Rattus norvegicus: one gene and its partners. The protein of the gene in region 2 binds, or shares a complex with, the protein of the main gene of each other region. Links are inferred from orthologs where the notes say so. Each region holds a gene or a part of one and is shown on either strand. Other genes may lie near its edges. The genes, in order: Slc7a10, Slc3a2, Slc7a11 and Slc7a8.

Region 1 (4,959 bases), about 120 Mb from region 2:
CCATGGAGATGGTAGACAATGTGGCAGGGCTGGATGACAAGGGCCTCTAAAAAGATGGGGTTCATGCAGTCGCCCCCTCACGTCTCCGCATACGTTTGGGCCTGACTTTCGAACACCTGCTGGACACTCGAATCCCAAATAGAGAGTGGGAGCAGCAGAGCCACCATGATTCAGCCTGTCAGACTTGGGCATGTCCCTCCTTGCTTGTGGATTGTGTGAGGGGATAGCTGAGGTCTCCAAGACAGGATCAGAGACCCCTTGTGTGCCGCCATGAGAAAAGCTGACTTTCCTGGCTCTGTTCCTGCATAGTGGAGGGAGACCTCAGTCTATCCTAGCTCAGTCCTCAACTGTCGCCTTCCCTTTGCCAAGCCTTCATAGCACAAAGGCCACTGGAAACCTGAATCCAAACACTGAGCTCACCAGTTGCAAACAGTGTCATTTAACCCTCAACCTCAGTTTCTCCATCTGTGCAATGGGTAGAAAACCTGCCAACCCCACAGGGTGAGCATGAGGATCAAAGGAGGTAAGGTAAGTCCAAAAAGATATCTGATGTGCTGGTGAGGTGCGCCATTTGGGAAGGTTCTGGAAATACCCATTGAGTAATAATAGATCACTCACAGACAAGGATGTGAAGTTCTCCAGGTTTGTAATGCTAAAATATGACACTGGAGACTTCTGATTTTGACCAAGCTCCCGGGTTAGGGATGGAGAAGAAGAAGATGGTGAAGAACCCAGGACTGAGAGTTGTACCATGGAGAAGTGGCCCCAGAGCTTTGCATGGGTGGAAGCTGAGCCCTTGAGGCATCAGGAGGGGAAGCAGAACAGATCTGGCCTCCTCCCCAGTCACCTAGTTGAGGACAATCCTCCCCTGTCTGGCTTTGTCCCCTGCCTGGCCTGGTGTCTTGGCCGACGGAACTCTTGAGCTCCCTAAGTGTGGTCCCCGGGAGAGCACCCGGTACCCTGGTCTGGGATAATGCTTGAATTCTGTTCCTGAATCCACCATCCTTGATTGGCCCAGTTGATTTTCACCCTCCTTAGCCTTCATCTTCAGGAGGCCAAAGGGGAGCAGTGAAGCAAGAATAGGCTGAGATGTGAGGGGAGCTGGCGGCCCAGAGCCAGGATCCATGGCACCAGTTCCTCCAAAGCCTGAGCTAGAGAAGAAGCAAAATATTGGACCGGGTGCCCATTTCTCCCCTACACCAGCACTCCCATCCTCTTGTAGATGACTGGAACCCTGGCAGCCTCTGTCTTACTTGAGGAGAAAAGACAGTAACAGGGTAGGGTGCAGTGCATGGATGCTAGTCTGTCTCTCTGTCTCTGTATCTCTGTCTCTGTCTCTCTCCCCCTCTGTCTCTCTGTCTCTCTGTCTCTCTGTTTCTCTCTCTCTCTCTCTCTCTCTCTCTCTCTCCCTCCCTCCCGCCCCACCCCACCCCACCCCTCTGGCACTGTAGCCAGCCCACCACCAATGATAAATAGTTTTTACTTTTTTTGGGAGGAGGGGTACAGTACCATGAAAATTGTGTTGATTGGAGGCAAAGTTCTAACCACTACTCTGTCCTAGCTCCCAGGCTCAGTCCTTCCTGTTATCAGACACTCGGGGATGCTGGGGGGGACACCAGGACCAGCCCCTAAAAGATAGCCATTCTAGAAGGAAGAGGGCAGGTAGTGGAACTCTCTGGAGCTGGGTTCAGGGGTGACTCTGGGTAGGAGTGCAGGGGATACCCAAAAGACACTACATCTCTCTGGGTGGAGTTTCTCATGGAAAGGCCTAAAGCGGGAGAAAAGTGAAGACACACACACACACACACACACACACACACACACACACACACACATACACATATACACACACACCCTGCACTGAGTCCTCCAGCTTTTCTCTGTCTCCAGGGGTCAAAGAACAGAAAGACAGTGATTTGGCTGCAGCCTTGTCTGCATCCCTACTGTGTGCCACTTCCCACTGGCTGGGGAAGAGGGAAAGTCAAAACCCCAACTAGTGACCTTTTAGACACCCCAATTCCTGGACACAGTAAAGGTCCCTCCGAGAGCTTAGTCCAGTTCTCCTTCAGGAGTCAAGGGACAAAAAGAGGAGGGGTTCTGCCACCACCAACCTTGTCCCCGGGGGTTCTGCATATCCAGAAAGCACCACTGTAGGGAGAGTGAGAGGGCCAGTCCACAAGAGCACCCACTCAGATGCCACCAGACCACGACAGTGCCCACTCGGATCCCAGGGCTGAGTGGGTACTCTCCTGGAGGTTTGGTCTACTCATAGCTACACCATCATTGGCTACTTCCCTATCTCTTCTTGGCTTCTGTGGCCACCTCGGCCAGGAAGGACAACTCCTAGGCCTTTTCCCATTGGTAAACCAATGGCTCTACCTGACCATTTACCATTTACCTTCCTGCTTTCCAAGAACAGATGGCCTCACTTCCCCGGCACTTGAACCTGGCACACAGTAGGGATGCAGACAGGCTGCCCTGCAGCCCAGAACTCGCCACTCAAGGCAGGCCTAGCAATTACTTCCGTTTTCCTAGGTGGGAACCCGGGAATCAGGGAATCGCCTTGACAAAGTCCCACAGCCAGTGAAGGCCAGGGGAGGGTCGCAGCAAGGAGAACACTCGCCCCCCTTTTCCAGGAACAATTTTTCCGAGAGGCTGGGGAGGTGAGGGCAAGAGGTTTTGTGCCTGGTCTGCCAGGTCCTGTTCTGAGTAGGGTCAAGTGTATTCTCCAGTTGTGGCAGCAGGTGCTCGGAAGGTTCCTTTGCCCCTGTGGTCTTATGGTCTTAGTGAGGGAGGAACATAAAGGGGCTCCCCCAGTCCTTCCACCCTAGGTATGCCCCACTCACCGATGATGATGGTGCAGGCGCTCACCAGCCCGATCTCTTTCTTGAGTGCCACCCGCTCCGAGGCGCCCGGGCCAGGACCAGGGCCCGGGGAGGGCGAGGGCGCAGGGCTGGGGTTCCCGCGCCCGCCTGGCTGCTGTATATGGCCTGTCATGTCGCTGTCCCGCCTCATCCCAGCTCTCTGCGCTACCCCGTCTATCCGGCCCGCCGCCAGTCCTCCGTCGGTCGGTTCGTCTGTCGGTGCGCTCGCGGCCCTCGCAGCCCGGGACAGCGCCCACAGGCGGGCGCATGCGCTGGCACGGGGCCCGGGCCCCCGGGGGCCCCCGGGCGGCTGGATCCAGGGAGGGACGGAAGGAGGGCCGGCCGGCAGCCCCCTCCCCCACCTCCCTTAAAGGGAACTCCCCCTCCCCTCCTCAACCCTAGCCTGGGGATGGAGGAGGGGACTGGGATCAGACTTAGGAAGGACTTCCTAGTTGAGTGAACGAAGGGGCTACACCCAGACTTGGGTGAGGTGGGGGAGAAGAGCTCAAAGACCAGGCTGACCCTACCCTCAAGGAGTGTGACCAAGGCGTGCTGGGGTAGGCGGTGCTGCATGCCCCAGCATGTACTTTTTAAATCCCTCAAACCCCATTGGTGAAGGGTGGGCATTGCACAGGTTGAAAATCACGGCCCAGAGGCAATTAACCTGACAGTGGCAGGTTCTCCGTGCAAACTTTTTTGATAGCTCCCTGGCCTCTAGGTGGTCCTGACTGCGTAGGCATTTAGGATGAATGGAGACTGTCCCTGGAACAATTCTGGAGGTCAAAGGTTTGCGAAGAGTTGAAGATACAGAGAACCCAGTGGTCACTCAGAAGGTCCCGGGGCATCCCGGGAGTTTGGGGACAGTCCCCATCACCATCAAATCCTTAGCATCCCCCAGCATTCGGGTCCAGCTTTAGGTCCCCACCGCAGACTCCTCTACACAGGTCGGAGTCAGGGAACAGTGGACTGGGACTTTGGCCCAGGCCATACTGCATGGCTCAAGGTGACCAGACCACTGGAAGTGCCAAGGAGACGTGAAGAGGACAATAGTGGTAGCAAAGAGGTATCGGGCCCAGGATCCAGGGGAGCCTGCCTCCTCCCGGAAGCCATCGGGAGGTGCAGCCCAGATCGCGGGGCAGATTCAAGCGGGGCTCCGGGAGGGGGAAGGGCCGCGTCGAGGCCACCGGGGCGGCGGGCGGAGCGAGGCTGGCACGGTGTGGCAGACGGCGGAACAGCTTTTGTGTGCTGCTGGCGATCGCTGCGTCGCGCCGTCCCCTGCATGAGGATGAGGCCACTCGGGGCCACCAGTCCTTCCCCCGATCGCGGCCTCAGAGTTTGCTGGGGAAGGGTAGGGCGGACCCGAGATGGGACTAGCTCAGGAGTCCAAAAGCCTGGGTTGGGGGCGGAGCACGGAGGTGGGATCTTGGCCAGGGCCCAGCTCTACTTCGAAGTTGGGGCGGGGACTTGATAATAGAAAAGGGAGAACTCTGGGGGGACCAGGAGGGGGAAGCCACCCGGCAGAGCTTCATCCTTCGCACTACCGACGGAGCCCAACATTCTTGGCGACCTCTGCCTCCCGCCCCAGAGACGATAAGTTGAACGTGGCAGGGCTCTCTTAAAGGAACCTCTCGTGCAGTGCAGGGTCGGGGTAGGGTCGGGTAGGGTGGGGGTAGGCTGGAGAAGAGCAGTCCTGACACTCATGATTGTTGCAGGTAGTAAGGACCTGGGAGGCTTGACTTTCTGGTTTGACTGGCTACTCCATTGTCTTTGCAGTGCCAAGGTCTGCTGGGTGAAGGTCCGGCCAGAAGGATTTCCCCTGAGGCTGGTTGTCAAGGGGCAGAGAGTGGCATCAGAGCCACAGGCCAGAGCCAGTAGTGTTTCAGAGATGAGCCTCTCCTGGACTTGGAATGTGGAGTTTGTTTTGCGAGGAAGGGGTGAGTCTGGGGCTCTGCGCAGGATGGAGTCTGCATACCTCTCCATATATATATGATCATTAGGTGGTAAACATGGGACCTTCTAAAAATAATGGTGATCCATGACTTACGTGATGTAATCCACAAGACTCAGCAAGTCAGAAACATGGCTGCCTTCACGT
Region 2 (5,176 bases):
CAGGCTGTCCTTTAACTTCTCATCCTCCTGCCTCCTCCAACTCTCAAGTGCTAGGACTATGGGCTTTCTCTACTACTTTGAACAAACTTCCTATCAAGCATAGGATCCCAGCACCTGGGAGTTTAAGGTTATCCTCAGCAACTTACTACTTCTAGAACACAAATCTCCCAGCAACTAGCAAGAGCGTCTCACCCACATACTTAAGAATCCAAAAGGGTCAGCATCTGCCTCTACTTTGTTATGTCCATCCTGGACCTGCCAGTGTCCTAAAACGTAGGTACCAGAGGCTAGGATGACATCAGGTTTACCCTATTATGGTGGCTATGAAGTTTAAGCCACTACCTCAAGAGAAAGGAAGAGCAGAGAAGACTCCTTGAGACTTCATGAAGTGACTGCATCTCAGTTTCTTCACAAACAGACTGGCAATGACAGGTATTTTGTGGGTTTACAAAACAAATTTGGAAATAGCTATAAAATACTTGGAACAGGGGCGAGAGAGAGAGCTTAGTGGTTAAGAGCTTTTGCAGAGTTAAAAACTTGCAACTTTTACATAGGACCCAGGTTCAGTTCCCAGCACCTACATAGCAGCTCACAACTGTCTGTAACTTCAGCTCCAAGGGACCCAACACCCTCTCTGGCTTCCTGGGGTACCAGGCATGCACATGATGCACAAACACATATGCAGGCAAACACTCACACACATAAAATCAGACCTTACAAAGCATTCATAGTGGAGTTAACTCTTTAAAAAAATAATAAAATATGGGGCAAGATAAAAAGCCCAGATACATAATAAGACTCTAGTACTTATAATTTCAGACTGGGCTCCGTTCCAAACACATCAAACAAAAACTGGGAAACCAGTCAGGTCAGGATTCCCACAGAGAAAGAAAAGACTTCCTATCACAAAAAGAAAAATTAAACTTCCAAACTGACATCTGAGAAATTCCCTTCCTGGCACAGCCTTGCTTCCAGAGTAACGGAAACACAAAGAACAGAACAGTCAGAAAAGAAACAATATCCCTCTGGCTATGGGAAGAGACTATGAGAAGAGAACCACGCTGAGTGCACGCGGCTTGCTATGAATAAATCCACACAATAAATCCCCAGCATCTATATGCCACCAATCATAAAACCTCACCTTCATTTTGGTGGCTACAATGTCAGCCTGAGGAGGGAGGAACCATGCATTCTGGCCCTTATAGTTGGGAGTGAGGTCCAAAATGATGTGAATGCCTAGGAAAATAACCAGGTGAGAGAAATTCTTTAGGGGAAGAAGAGGAAACAAGGAACTTCAACACACAGTTACTAAGTGTACCTATGTATAGTTTGTACAAAATCTGAATGAAACCCACAAAACCCCTCCGGAGGTTTTTATAGTAGAGCAAATAACTTTGTGCTATTGGGCCAGGGGTTATCTCCCCAACAAGGTATGGTCTTTCAACATGTTTCCATAGTGAGGTTTTGGTTTCTTTCTTGTTTTTCCCCCCTTTAAGTCAGGGTTTTGTGTATGTGGGCTGGCTGCCTGAGGATAAACAGCCTCCTACATCTACTTCCCAAGTGTAGGACTATAGGCACATGCTCCCACATCTGTTTATGCTGTACTGAGGACTCAAACTCAGGACTTCACGGGCACTAGGCAAGCACTCTTACAAACTGAGCTACACTTTCAGCCCTCTATATTGGGTTAAAGCAGTATTTGAATCTCTTACACATATAGGAACTACTTTAGAAATTTAAAAGCCACTTATTTGATCAAGCCATGGTGACACACTTAAGCCTAGCACTTGGGACCAGTGGAGCCCTGTAAACTCTCATCCAACCTGGTCATGGTAGTAAGTAAGGTACAGGCCAACCAATCAGTTACAAGGTAAGACCCTGCCTCAAAACCAAAATAAATAAGAATTACTCTCACAAATGAACCACACTGTTTAGTGTGAATCATAGCATATCTCCCCTGTGCCTGCCCTAAAAAAACAAAGCCAGTTAGGAGAAAAGCAGACAAAAGCCCTATCCTGTTTCTTGGCCAGAATGCCAAGCCCTTTCTGCTTCCTTGAGACCTACTCTTTTTCTTGGCACTTTGTAGAAGGTCTTTAAAATCTTCCTGGGAGCCTAAATCGGGATCAATCTGTTTCAAGTCGGTTTCATTGACTTCATCCTTCTGGTTCTTGTGAATTGGGCCCAAAACTAGGCCCTTCACCTTCAGGGTGCTCAAGTACTCCAGATGGTTCTTCAGACCTATGATGAGGAGAGAGTTGGGTTAACAAGTAGGGCATGAAAAGCCTCCACATTCTCTCCACCACTTTCGCCAACTCCCTCTGAAGGGGGCTGGATCACGAGACCAAGTAGCTGACGCAAGGCACCTCACACATTACTCCAGAAACTGGTTTGAACTGGCTCAGGGGCCGCGTGGTTGGGGGAGGAGAAAGGGGATGTGCTGAGTCAGGCACCCTTAGGAAGAAGTAGGGGTCGGGTTAGCAGGGCTTGTTTTTTTTTCTTTTTCATTTTTTTTTTTTTAATTTTAAGAAAGAGTGGAGAGGATTGTTTGCCAGGGAGTCGTCCCAGAAAATAGGGTTCGGTGAAGAACCATCAGAGTCCTAGTGATGGTGAGGAGGAGAGCAGCAGAATGCCCGCTTAAACAAGGGGTACATGGGGGCGAAGGGTGAGGGCGCGCACCCCACACTCACCAGCTATGCCTCTCGCTTCCGGGCCTACGAAGGCCTGAAGGTCGCCGATGCGGTAGAGGGCGCCCTTGTGCCACCATCTCTGTACCGGCAGCTCACGGCAGCGTGGCGCCCGAACGATGATAACCACGGCGCCCGCCAGCATACCCAGCCAACCGAGCCAGAAGAGCAGCAGCAGCGCCCAGCGGGTGCGCACCCAGCCCGGGCTGCCAGCTACCTTCAATAGCTCCTCCTTGGATAAGCCTGTGAACTTGACCCCGGCTTCCGCCTCGTCTTCGGCCACCTTAATCTTCACCAGACCGTTCTTCTCCCCGGCTGCCGCCCCGTCCGCTGCATTCATAGGCTGCTTCTCCGGTTCCAGCTCGTTCAGCTCCACATCTTTCATGTCCACTTCGGTGTCCTGGCTCATGGTACCTGCAGAAACGGTGACAGGACACGGCCTGTAGTCAGTGGGTCGCCTAGTTTGGAGAGGTGTCCCGTGAGGCTAGTTAGCTTAGCTTCCCTAACTGCTTCTGCCGCCAGGCGGGCGTGGCGGCGGGGAAGTGACCCATGACTCCGCCCCGATCCGCCTCTTAAAGAGATGCAGAGAAGTCTTTCACACCTCCAGCCTCGCTACGTGAGCCAGTCTATCCCTAACGCTTAATGCAGCCAGAGTCTGGGAAGCTGACCTTGTAGCCAGTAACCCTTAGAATAACAAACGTGAGTGTGTCCTGACCAGGTCCCAAAGCCCTCCTCCGGGCCCTTTCCCGGAGGAAGCCTCTATTCTCTCTGCAAGATGACACCAGCCTCCATCTGCGTCATCATCCCTTCGCCCCAGGCCGGGCTCAGGCTAACATCTGATCTCCCCAACTTCACACAGATCTTGGCACTACATTCCCACTTCTGCTTTACCCACACCTCCTCAGACTCTGGACTTAGCTGAGCTCCAGGACTCCCCTTGAGGCTTACCCGAACTCACCTTTAAGACTCCTTGAGTTTAATTCCTCAGGCAGCAACTATTTACTGGGCACCCACTTTAATCCTTTCCTTCATAAATTGCATAGAATCAACTCTAATCCTTTCTTCTTGATTTTAAAATTCAACTGCAGAGTTGAAGTGGACACTACCCTTCTCATCCTACCCTAGTTACTAGTGAGAATGTTGGATTACTGGGAGTCAGGCATCCAGAAGAGACTAATGGGGCTGTAATAAACATTCCAAAGGTAATGAGGCATCTACCCTTTTAATATACAAGCTGTTGTGACTCTTAGCCACCTTGCAGTAACTCTCAAACCCTCTGGTGTGCCGGGCTACATCAGTTGACTATGCTAGGCCCTGGAGGCAGCTTAGATCCCTCACACTTTGAAAGATTCTCCAATTCCCACCCACAGAGGCCCTTGGCCAGGAGGGTAAATGGGGCAGACTGGGCTCGCAGCAGGGACCAGTGGACAGCAACTCTTGGTGATGCCAACAATCTCAGGAACTTCGTGTTCCTTACCACAGCCAATTTGGTTATTTTCAGAGAGAAGCAGAAGAAAACAACGGGTCCTTTCTCCCTCTCCCCACCTAGGCCAGCAGCCAAGGTTGCTATGTATTTGGAAGAAAGCAGACGCCAAGGTCTGAACAGTAGAGAGGAAGGGATATGAAAAGTCTCATCACCTGCCACTGTCCTTTGGAATTCCCAAAGATCCTCCCTAGCCTCACTAGAGAAAAGGGTACATGCCAGCTCCTAGGAAGAGCAAAGTCAGTAGAGGTTAAGGGTCATGCCAGTGTTCACAGTTGATAAGAGTCCTACCTTGCCCTGGGCATGCCAGATAAGAAAAGTCCAAGATGGACTTTCTACCCAGCCAGAAAGCTCAAGGTTTGTGGACTGTGAAGCAGAAGCAGTCTTTGAGAGGGTTCAATGAAACGCACCCTAGAAACCAGATGGCTTATTGGATCAAACCAACAAAATGTTCATCTGGTAAAGTTGCTTACCCACCAAGACTGACAGCCTGAGTTCACTCCTCAATGAAGAGAACTGACTCCCAAAAGCTCTCTTCTGACCTCCACACATGCTCACTGCCCTCCACAAAATAAATAAAATTTAAGGTAGCATGGTATCTCCCAGCCCCCACATGTAAGTGGCAGAGATCTATCCCTAAGCATCTTAGAGATCTCCCGGCAGTCTCCACCAAGCCCACCTTCCTGACCACTGCTGTCCGGACACAGCAGCTTCCCAGCACCCGCCAATTGCACAGCATAGTGTGTTTCCAGTCTTAATGCCTCGTGTGCTGCTGTTCTGCTGTTTGGCTCTTCCTGCTAAGTTACTCTTCCTCATTCAAGCTCTAACTCAAGTGACAGCATTCCTCAGTGCTCTAGAGGAGACTGCTTTCCCTTATCTGGGATATAAAACAACAACTAACCCAGCTGACTAATATAAACTTAAAGGGCTGGAGTTCAGAGGATAGGTACTTGCCTACCGTGTGCAAGGCCCAGGGTTCAATCTGCAGCACCACAGGCATTGAAGAAGT
Region 3 (4,481 bases), on a different chromosome or scaffold from region 2:
CAATTTAAACCTAGGGCAAAATATACAGAGGTCTGGGCATTGATTCCCTGACAGTAAATTCCAAGGTCTTTAAGAGTTTTTCCAATAACAAGGTTATATTGGTTGCTTTTCTGGACAACCGACCAACATGGTGACCATTATTTCCAGTGGAAGTTTGCTAGTTGTCTTTAGGTCTAAATTAATGAAGCATTTAAGTAGCTATCTGTAACTTTATCACTTTAGTACCTGGAGCATTGGAAAGCAGTACAACTGCTTGGATTGTTCTTTTGGATGGAGTCCGGTCTCAGAAGATGAGTCTAAGGTGTGGTCTTAGTGTCTTCTCTCATTTGTTCACTCTTAAAACAAATTCTCCAGATGACCCTGATAAAATCATACTCCATTTTCTCTAGTTTTCCAAGTTATATTTGTTTTGAGCATTCTGTAGGAGACACCACTGACCCGCAATACTTTCCAGATGTGGAGTCTCCTCAGGTGCCTGGGCAGAAACTCCGTTTTCTTTGAACACTAAGGGATGTAGACACTGGTGTTTGACTGATTGGTTGATTAATTGATTGACTTTTGGATGAAATTAAGATTTATTTTTCATGTCCTTTTTAATTAACGACGAAGCAGTTGGTAAGTAACATAATATCATGTGGTGTGTTTGTTGTATCAGAGTCAGTCCTATCTATGGTTCACTTTCCCACCTTTACATCCAGAATAAGCATGAAAATTCATGTTTTCACTTCAAAGGGTGTGAAATTTAGGGTTTGGGGGAATTTAGATATAACCTTCCCAATCTTATACAAGTGTTATTTTTAAGCACATCTTAGTTTATAGTTGATTTTCATCACATACATGACTGTAGATTGTGGAATTTCTTTTTTAAAACACTCCTTTTAACTGCCGGGGTGTACATTTCGAAAACATCCGGAATAACTGTTTCTAGGAACAGAATAACCGGGTCAAGATTCGATTCGTTGATAAAGCGTATTGCATCAATTAACTGAAGTCTCACACAACAAGTAGCCTCTTCTTTCCCAAAGAACAGATAAACTATATTTTGATTTTCCACAGAAACATTATTTATTAAATACCGTAGTGAGATCAGTCAGAGTGATCTTGTCTTAGTATGAGATGGTGTTGTTATTCAAATAATAGGTCAGTATCATTGACACCTGTCTTCTCTTTTCCCTCTGCCCTCTGGTTTCTGACCATAGATTCTGAGTCATATTTGTAGGTACCATTTCAAACAAAATTTTCTTTCCTTACATTTTTTTCCAGTTCATTTCATTTGGCTTTTATGTGTATGGGTGTTTTGCTTCTGCGCATGCCTAGTGCCCAAGGAAGCCAGAGTAGGGCCTTGGATCCCCGCGAACTGGAGATACAGATAGTTGTAAGTCCCCACGTAGATGCTGGGAATTGAGTTTGGGACTTCTGGAAGAGAAGTCAGTGCTCTTAACTGAGTAGCCATCCTTCCAAACTTTGGCATTTCTTTCTATTAGTATGAGGCAGGTCTCAAGCGTGAGGAAGTTAAAAGAGGACCTTGGTGGGTCTAAGTTAGGAGATTACGACTATTCCTGTGAAGGCCATTCTGACCAAAGGAAGTAGCCACAGAGTGCATACAACCTAAATGACGTTGTCAGTTCTATCACAAGACTACTAGATGCTGTGTCAACTTTGTACTTTTTTATTATCACCTTTCACAGGAGCCCTGTCTTATGCTGAATTGGGTACGAGCATAAAGAAATCTGGTGGTCATTACACATACATTCTGGAGGTCTTTGGTCCCTTGCTAGCTTTTGTTCGAGTCTGGGTGGAACTGCTGGTAATACGGTAAGGAGACGGAAACAATTAAGGGAAAACAAACCTATTCGTTTCATCACTTTTCCGGATCATCTTGACTGCTTTAACTAATTACAAATGTGTGTCACGTGACTTTGTTTGAAAAATACAGACCCTAAGGCATAAAAAAGCTTTCTTTAAGCTCCAAATTGTATAGAAATATGTTTTTTTCCAGAAAAGGCATTCATCTGAGATGGGGGGAATCTTCAAAATTCACTTTGATAAACTACACGTTGGATTGACCAGACACGATTTAATATGCTAGGGGTTAGTGGTTTTTTTCTTTTTACTGTTGATTATGTCATCAGGACATTTAACTTTACTTTTGTGACTAAGAACTATCTGTGCCAAACAACTTAGTGTATTATCAAGTCTTATGCTTTACAAACAGTAAGAAAAATCAAGTTAACACAGCATGAGTGATTCATTTCCTCACATTAAACAAACCAGCGATGTGCAGTGGCAGAAGTTGTTTGATTGTACTGCCGTAAGGCTCTGTCCCCCTTCCTGATTCTCTTGGCACAGAATAGCGCCAAGTCACTCTGAATAGCAAATTTCCCTCAATATTGTGAGGAGCCTGTGTTGTCGCATGTGCAGCTCGTGTCACAGGTGTTTTGTGCTTTAAGGGATATGACTTACACTTTGTGATTAAAGAGTTCATTAGAAACCATTAGGGAACCTTGCTCTCCTGTAAACAAAGGGCGCAGAGTACTAAAATCCCAGCTAAGTTTTCATTCTGCCACTAACAGAAGTGACAAAGGAAGAGCTCTAAGTGTCTGCTAACGGGAACAATTGTAATGGTGTTAATAGCAGACTTCAGAGTAGTGCACACTTCATTGGGAACAACAGTTCTTTGTTGCTTAGTAATTGCTAGTGTTAAATGATGATAAAAAGCACATTTTTTTCTTTTTGCTTTCCTAAGATTTCTCTATCTGAGATGTACTTCTCTCTGTCATCGTAATCATATGTACTCTTCAAAGCTAATTTTTGTATGTATATATGACATATACATACACACACATATATAATATATATATATATATATATATATATATATATATATAAATTTCTGGTTTATCCCTAGTTTGTAGTATTTCTTTCATCTCTTAATGTCTTAAGACCTTAAGCGACCCATTACTATTTTCCTATTATAATTATAAGCATTTCAAGGATGTAAGATGTAAGAATAGGTCTTACACCTTTTATGACTTTCAAACTATTTATGTCAGTGCCATGTGTATCCTAGATAGTAATCCTTTCTTATACAAGTGTCTGGAAACCCAAGATGATGTTGTTTTGAATGTAACAGGCACAGCATTGAAATAAGAACAGTAAGTCAGTGGAGTGCTGCCCTGTCAGCTGTTGAGCTTCCCAGCCTGATGTCCTTCAACTTCACTGCATCTGCATCCATGCAGTTGTGACGTAACTGTATGTAATTATTCAGTGTTGCTATGACAGCATGATCACTCCATTTGCAATGGACAGATAAGAAACCCATTCGTTAATTTATCGTTTCCACAAATTGCCGATGAATGGCAGACAGCAAGATAAAGAGATCTAAATTGGAGTGAGCCACAATTCATGCTTCTTAACTGCTGATAACCAGATGCACCTTAATTTTGAAAGAACTGTTCTAGCTGTGTGTGTGTGTGTGTGTGTGTGTGTGTGTGTGTGTGTAAGCATGAGTGCGTGCATGTGCACAGCCAAGTTACCTAAGTAGATCTTCGAAGCTTTTTAATACATCTATGTTCCCTAGGATAGTCTTTCAAACAAGCAAAGTAGCAAATACCATGAAGGACATGACACCCTAGGACATAAATCCATTTCTTTTCATGATAGTAACCATGATATCTAAATGCTCCCCATTAAAATTATACTTTCAAATTAAGTTGGTATTGTCAGAAATAATCCAAGCAAAGTCACCCAATAGAACAAGATGGGGACTTTGAAGTTGAGGTCATGTAGTCACATGATATTTGACCACTATTGAGTTTCTACTGTAACAGATGCTGGGCTTATCCTTGCACTGGGGTAAAATTCCAATTGGGAGGAACACAGTTTTTTTTCCACAGATTTCAAAGTCAAGCGGGATGGGGTTTCAATCTGGGGATCACCTTAACTAGAATAAAAACCCTACTGTGGTAAACAGTGTGTAGGGGACAGGTTTGGTGCTGTGTAAAAGGAAGCTTGGACAAGGGGAAGGTTGGAGTCACTTCCCTGGACCAAGACTAAAACCAGATACTAAGTACAAAATGTAGCTATATGGAATGGCTCTGGGCAGAAGTGATTCAGTTCTTGTTCCTGGGAAGCTTGTGTGTGCAAGGCCTCACCATGGTCAGAATGTGTTTGAAGGATATTGAAGTGATGCTAGCAGATTTAGGTTTAGAAATCAAAGACTTTTATAAAAATGATAGAGAACAGCAAAACATCCCCTTCGGAGGCAGGAGTCTCTGGGGGAGAGGAAAAAGTTAAAATGTTTGTGGTTTTGACTGGAGGTAGGAGATCAGTGTTGGAGACAGGTAATATGGGTTGGTCTCTGGTGATCCAGGGATCAGGCCTAGGTGTTAACCACAAGAAGGAAGAGAAGCTGAAAGGGACTCTTGCTTGAGATGTTAAGCAATTTTGTGGATTTCCTTGTGTGTGGCAAGAATATGCCC
Region 4 (5,011 bases), on a different chromosome or scaffold from region 2:
GGAAAAATATCCTGATTTCCCTAAAATCACCCAGAGTATCCAGCCAGAACTGTGATGTCACCACGAGGAGTTCTTTCTCTCTCTCGTCACCCATGAGGCTGTGGACAGATCAGTAGTGGCATCGACCCTGGACCTGTACTTATTATACCTGATCATCCCCATGTCTTCATAGACTTGAAATAAATATATTTTGAAAGAACCAAAGCCTTAGTATATAGGAGAATATCGGGGTTGGGGATTTAGCTCAGTGGTAGAGTGCTTGCCTAGCAAGCGCAAGACCCTGCGTTCAGTCCCCAGCTCCGAAAAAAAAAAAACACAAACAAACAAACAAAAAAAAAAACAAACAGGAGAATATCTTCTATCCATGAAAATCTACATATATTGTGGGCTGCGTGGGCATCCATGGGAAAAAAAGGTTTGAGTGTGTGTATGTTAGTGTGTATGTGCATGCATGTATGAGTATAAATGTGTGAGTGTGTATGTAGGTATATATGTATGTATGAGTATGTGTGTGTGAGTGTGTGTGTATGTTTGAGTGTGTATGTGTGAGTATGTGTGTATGTGTATATATAAGTATGTGTGTTATGTGTGAGGGTGTATGTATGTATGTGTGTATGAGTGTGTATCAGTATGTGTGTATGTTAGTGTGTATGTGTATGAATGTATGAGTATATACGTGTGAGTGTGTATGTATGTATGTAGAGCATGTGTGTGAGTATGTGTGTGTATGTATGAGTATGTGCGTCTGTGTATATATAGGTATTTGTGTTATGTGTGTGTATATGTGTATTTTTTTTGGTGTGAGTGTGTATGTATGTATGTAGAGCATGTGTGTGAGTATGTGTGTGTATGTATGCATATATGTGTATGAGTCAGATACTTCCCCAAGGTGGGGTGGGGGATACAAAGCCTATCCATCAAATTAATGAAAGACATAACAGACTCTGGCCTATTTATAGATCTTAAATTGGCATGTGTTCTACAGGTTGCGTTGAATTAAAAAATATAGTAAGACCAGATAATGTGAGCTTCAGATCGTGACTCCTGTTTTGAGGATTTGTTCCCTCACAACATTGTCTCTTTATAACTGTAAATATTTGGAGTATATAGATAACCTTCCATTCTGGAAGGGGATTGGAAAGAACATGGCCACTGAAGTCAGGGTGCAGAGGTGGAGAGGATTATCTGAGCACTGTGCTGATTTTATTTGACTTCAAGGATGTTCTCCAGTGTCACTCTGGCTCTGGTGCCAAACGTCCCTGAGCTGTTCACAGAACACTGTTACATCGACAGAAACTAGTTTATGGGCAGCAAGAAACAGTACACCTTCGCTAAGGAACTCCAGAGGAGAGAGAGCACATAGGGACTCATCTGAGAGTCTTGTGGTGCTTTCCCTGGGAAGAAGCCCTCAGCGGAAGGCAGCAGACCAAAGCCCCCTTTTTGAGGGAAGGTAGTGAGGAGCCACTGCCCAGCGCCCACCTGCAGGGCTTCTTTACAAAGACAAGAGTGTCCTCTGTAGACGAGAGAGTTGTCTCTGGAAGCCTGAGCCCTACACAAGTGCTCTTGGGAAGCAAGACCTATACTGGCACTCTCTGGATCACCCAGCTCCTCTCCTAGAGAGCTTCCAGGACAGAGCACACATTTCACCCATGAATTCCTCCTGTACTCCACAATCCACTCACTCCGGGTTCCCTCTACAAACCTCACAGGGTCTTCTGTGTGTGTTAAAACACACCCCCACACACAGGCAACCAGAGAAACTGAAAACTCCGTGTAGAGAACATAGTCGAGTCAGCTGGTTCTCCCTTCCATATTTTCCTCATCCCAGACAGTAAGAACAGCCTGGCTGTCACATCTATTTCACAAATGCTACATAGGATGGACCAGCCTATAAAGAACCATCATTACGAAGTGTTTTTACTACTGCTGTTTTGCTCTTTGTGGTATTACCACAATGCTTCATAACATAAGGCAACAAAATATGCTTCAAAAGCAGGTTCGCAGCCTGCAGAGGGTGGCTGCATAGAAGCTAGTTAAAAATCCATGTGTCAGCCTGAATTAGGATCTCCCGGATCAGAACTGCATAGTGACAACCCGGAAAGAATTTGTTACACTTCTAATAAATTCCCAGGGAATACTTGGTACGCAGAGCCAGCATGGTTCCTGACTCCTGTTTGTTCTATTCTAAGGAGAGAGCGGCTCAGCCTGGCTTGGTTGAAGCGATGTCTGACAGACATCACTTCCAGAGCTCTGACTTGGCCGGTGCAGGTGGACAACACAAGTCAGAGACAAAGCAAAGCTGCTTTAGGGGCTTTGGTGGGGTTAAAGTCCCGCGGAGGACCCCTGGGGAGGGGGTGGTGTGGTGCCGGGGGCCCCGCAAAGGACCTGGACTCACCTACAATGATACCACAGGCGCTGACCAATCCGATCTCTTTCTTCAGGGCTACTCCGCCCCCTCCCGAGCTAGCCTCGGCCTCAGGGCTGGTGTCAGATCCGCGGTCCGGGTGGTTCTTCGCGGTGTTGTTTCGCTGTCGGGTTCCCTTTTCCATCTTTCTCCGTAGGGTTCCGACCACCAAAAGCTAAAAAGAGCAGTCTCTTTCTAAACGCTCGTGCGTATAAATGCAGAGATACGCGGAAAAACAAGTTTCCAATTAGAACGCCCTTTTCAGAAACGGAGAGCGAGCGCTCCTAGGCTCTAAAAGTGACAGCAAACGAGAGTCACACGTGTCACTGCTAACAAACAAGGGCCGTGCTTTTTAAATGGAAGGCAAAGAACATATATATCTAAATACAAAAATAGAACTGTACCAGCGACTCCAGCTGGAATTCTCCGGAAAGCGTTTATCTTCAGAAGCCCAGGATGGCTCTGCTCGGTGTACCGGGCGGCGGCTTGCTCTGGTCAGAATTTCCCTGCAGCCCTCCTAACGAAACAGATCGCCTCCACCTTCCCTTAAGTCTCTTTTACCACGAGGGTAAAAGTAGTTCTCGTTAGCCGAGAGGGCGGAGGAGGAGCGGTGCTCAGGTACTTTCTTCTCGCTCGCCGGCTCGCGATCAGGTTTCCACCTGCTGCGGTCGCCCCTTCTCGCCCTTGTCCGCTCCGAGCTCCGTGCTCACGCCGCAGATCGTTCCATCTGTGAGGGCAGGGTGGCTGCTGCGCTCGCGAATGTGCTTCCCTTTCGGCTGCGGCGTTTATTTGCGGACCGAGGCTCCGCCCCCACCTCCTCCGTTCCTCGCCATCCTCAGCCGCATCTCCTCCCTCCCCTTCTATTTAATTATTAGTACCCTCTACCCCCAAAGATCACGGAGAAAAGGCCTTAAAACATTTCTTTCTTTCTTTCTTGTTTTCTTAGTGGAAACAAGGGAAGGGTCGGCCGCAGGGGGAAGACACAAGCCAAGGCTGCATCTCAGGTCGCACAGCATTTGTGTGCTCTGTAAGGGCACACAGTTCTGCAGGCTTTTGATGCCTTCAGAAATACACTGACCAGTGTACTAAAATGTTTAGGTGTGGATCATTTGAGGACAAGGTCGAGAAAGCTGCCGGGATATCGTCATCAAGCTGTTTCCTGAAGTAGGAGAAGGTTTTGGTAGGGGACAATGTGGAAGGACTTTTTAGTTAGGCTGAAGAGTTTCTCTTAGGGACTGACAAGAAAGTTAAATAAAATTATTAAGAATATGGGGTAGTTGCAACATTCGTCTGAAGCAGAGTAAGGAGGATTCTGACCTGACCCATGACCCCTAATATTTTATCACAAAATCTTTGAACTTCGGGACTGTGAGCCCTTCACTGATCAGGAAGCAGATTTGTTGATGCTAAGAATGGTAACTGTTAAGTTTATTGGCATTGCACGCCCACTTCCCTGAAGAACTTGATTCAAGACTGTTGCTTCACCTCATGAACCGTGTCTACTTCTAACTGTAAAGTACTTTGGGGAAAAAAAAAAAAACAAACCATGAAACAATATTATATACCATGCTGAAAAACTAGGTTTTTTTTTCACATACTGTACAAAGTGATTTGATTTAAAAATAAGTCTAAAAAATAAAATTCCAAAGGGCCTAGTGGCACACATCTTTCATCTGAGCACTTGGGATGCAGAGGCAGGCAGAGCTCTCTGAGTTTAAGGCTAGCCTGGGCTACAAAGTGAGATTCTGTCTAAATGAGACAAACGCAATTCCTGACCACTAACTACACAAAATCGGTTTCGCTTTTTTTGGAAAATGCTCTAAACCCGTTAGATCTTTCAAGAAAATAATACGTTGGACCCCTTTGGAAGTGGGGTTGGCTAAGCTATCTGGAACAGCTCTCCCAGAGAGGGTAAAGTCCAGCCAACAGTCTCCCTTCCCCGTCTGCCCCTTGATCACCCTACTCAGCAAGTATGGAGAGGTTTCAAAGGTTGAGATCTCACCCCTTCTCCTTCTGTTGGTTTAAGATATAGCAGATTGAAGGCCTCAGCAAAAAGAAGAAAGTGGGGGGAGCGTGTAAATCATTTTCAACAATGACCAGACAAGGTTGGAGTATATAGCACAAAACTCCATGGGAGAAAGTGAGGGATGAGTCGGGGAAGCATGGAGAAGTGTGAGCTTCTCCTCCCAAGCTTAGGGAACACAAGGGGAAACTTGATGGATTCATTCATTATTAAGCAACCCAATGTGAAGACTTCTGCTCAGATCGCAACATCAAGGGAGTAAAACGGCTCTGCTCCTCACATGTGAGTTCTTTCAGTGATATTTTGTAGTTTCCGTTTGAACGGTGCAGGTTGATATGAATGTTCGATGGATTTGAGATCTCTCCAGAAAGGAGTGACGCGGAGCAATGTGGAAGTGCCGGCCCCACTCCCGATCTGCGAAGTTGGAAAATAAAGAAAATTACAAGTTTTATAAATCTTGAACCAAACAGATTTGGGGGGTACAGTGTGGCACCAAAGGGGAAAGGGGGGCTTGTTAAAATCTGTATTTCCCTCTCTTTAGTACCTGGAGATTATGAGGCGCTTGCAGCTGTTTGTTGATGGTG

Evidence for each region.
Region 1: the proteins of Slc3a2 (region 2) and Slc7a10 are in contact, whole or in part, in a cryo-EM structure (PDB 8WNT), measured with the Homo sapiens proteins. The link is inferred for Rattus norvegicus from reciprocal best matches to the Homo sapiens genes SLC3A2 and SLC7A10. Residues at the interface, in NP_002385.3 of Homo sapiens: Phe161, Thr162, Gly163, Leu164, Lys166, Leu169, Leu170, Val172, Ala173, Trp178, Arg182, Leu186, Phe189, Trp190, Trp193, Met196, Leu197, Ala200, Ile203, Ile204, Ala207, Pro208, Arg209, Cys210, Arg211, Glu212, Leu213, Arg534; in NP_062823.1 of Homo sapiens: Leu147, Val150, Phe151, Asn153, Cys154, Pro157, Ala160, Val163, Leu164, Met166, Ala167, Met170, Leu171, Trp174, Ser352, Val359, Glu481, Thr484, His485, Trp486, Gln488, Glu489, Leu490, Phe492, Val493, Val494, Tyr495, Gln497.
Region 3: the proteins of Slc3a2 (region 2) and Slc7a11 are in contact, whole or in part, in a cryo-EM structure (PDB 7P9V), measured with the Homo sapiens proteins. The link is inferred for Rattus norvegicus from reciprocal best matches to the Homo sapiens genes SLC3A2 and SLC7A11. Residues at the interface, in NP_002385.3 of Homo sapiens: Glu167, Leu170, Ala173, Trp178, Thr181, Arg182, Phe189, Trp190, Trp193, Met196, Leu197, Gly199, Ala200, Ile203, Ile204, Ala207, Arg209, Cys210, Glu212, Leu213, Lys299, Arg534, Gln559; in NP_055146.1 of Homo sapiens: Leu151, Phe154, Phe155, Ile156, Gln157, Cys158, Glu159, Pro161, Leu163, Ala164, Leu167, Ile168, Ala170, Val171, Thr174, Val175, Val178, Gln217, Gln219, Val360, His373, Thr487, Gln489, Ile490, Ile491, Glu493, Val494, Val495.
Region 4: the proteins of Slc3a2 (region 2) and Slc7a8 are in contact, whole or in part, in a cryo-EM structure (PDB 7CMI), measured with the Homo sapiens proteins. The link is inferred for Rattus norvegicus from reciprocal best matches to the Homo sapiens genes SLC3A2 and SLC7A8. Residues at the interface, in NP_002385.3 of Homo sapiens: Thr162, Gly163, Leu164, Ser165, Lys166, Glu167, Leu170, Ala173, Gly174, Trp178, Arg182, Leu185, Phe189, Trp190, Trp193, Met196, Leu197, Gly199, Ala200, Ile203, Ile204, Ala207, Arg209, Cys210, Arg211, Leu213, Lys532, Arg534, Asp558, Gln559; in NP_036376.2 of Homo sapiens: Leu147, Leu150, Phe151, Pro152, Thr153, Cys154, Phe155, Pro157, Ser159, Gly160, Leu163, Leu164, Ala166, Ile167, Leu170, Leu171, Trp174, Gln294, Ser352, Met356, Val359, Glu481, Thr484, Leu485, Gln488, Lys489, Met490, Cys491, Val492, Val493.

Annotation. Positions count from the first base shown.
Region 1 is NC_086019.1:96,964,231-96,969,189, reverse strand, and holds the start of Slc7a10 (asc-type amino acid transporter 1), read right to left. Parts: upstream 3,069-4,959; 5' UTR 3,016-3,068; coding exon 2,847-3,015; intron 1-2,846. UniProt on the Homo sapiens protein: Associates with SLC3A2/4F2hc to form a functional heterodimeric complex that translocates small neutral L- and D-amino acids across the plasma membrane. Preferentially mediates exchange transport, but can also operate via facilitated diffusion.
Region 2 is NC_086019.1:215,036,473-215,041,648, forward strand, and holds the start of Slc3a2 (amino acid transporter heavy chain SLC3A2), read right to left. Parts: upstream 3,199-5,176; 5' UTR 3,099-3,198; coding exon of another isoform or gene 3,094-3,098; coding exon 2,688-3,093; intron 2,239-2,687; coding exon 2,065-2,238; intron 1,237-2,064; coding exon 1,142-1,236; intron 1-1,141. UniProt on the Homo sapiens protein: Acts as a chaperone that facilitates biogenesis and trafficking of functional transporters heterodimers to the plasma membrane.
Region 3 is NC_086020.1:136,661,059-136,665,539, reverse strand, and holds part of Slc7a11 (cystine/glutamate transporter), read left to right. Parts: intron 1-1,688; coding exon 1,689-1,815; intron 1,816-4,481. UniProt on the Homo sapiens protein: Heterodimer with SLC3A2, that functions as an antiporter by mediating the exchange of extracellular anionic L-cystine and intracellular L-glutamate across the cellular plasma membrane.
Region 4 is NC_086033.1:32,209,567-32,214,577, forward strand, and holds the start of Slc7a8 (large neutral amino acids transporter small subunit 2), read right to left. Parts: upstream 3,150-5,011; 5' UTR 2,550-3,149; coding exon 2,396-2,549; intron 1-2,395. UniProt on the Homo sapiens protein: Associates with SLC3A2 to form a functional heterodimeric complex that translocates small and large neutral amino acids with broad specificity and a stoichiometry of 1:1.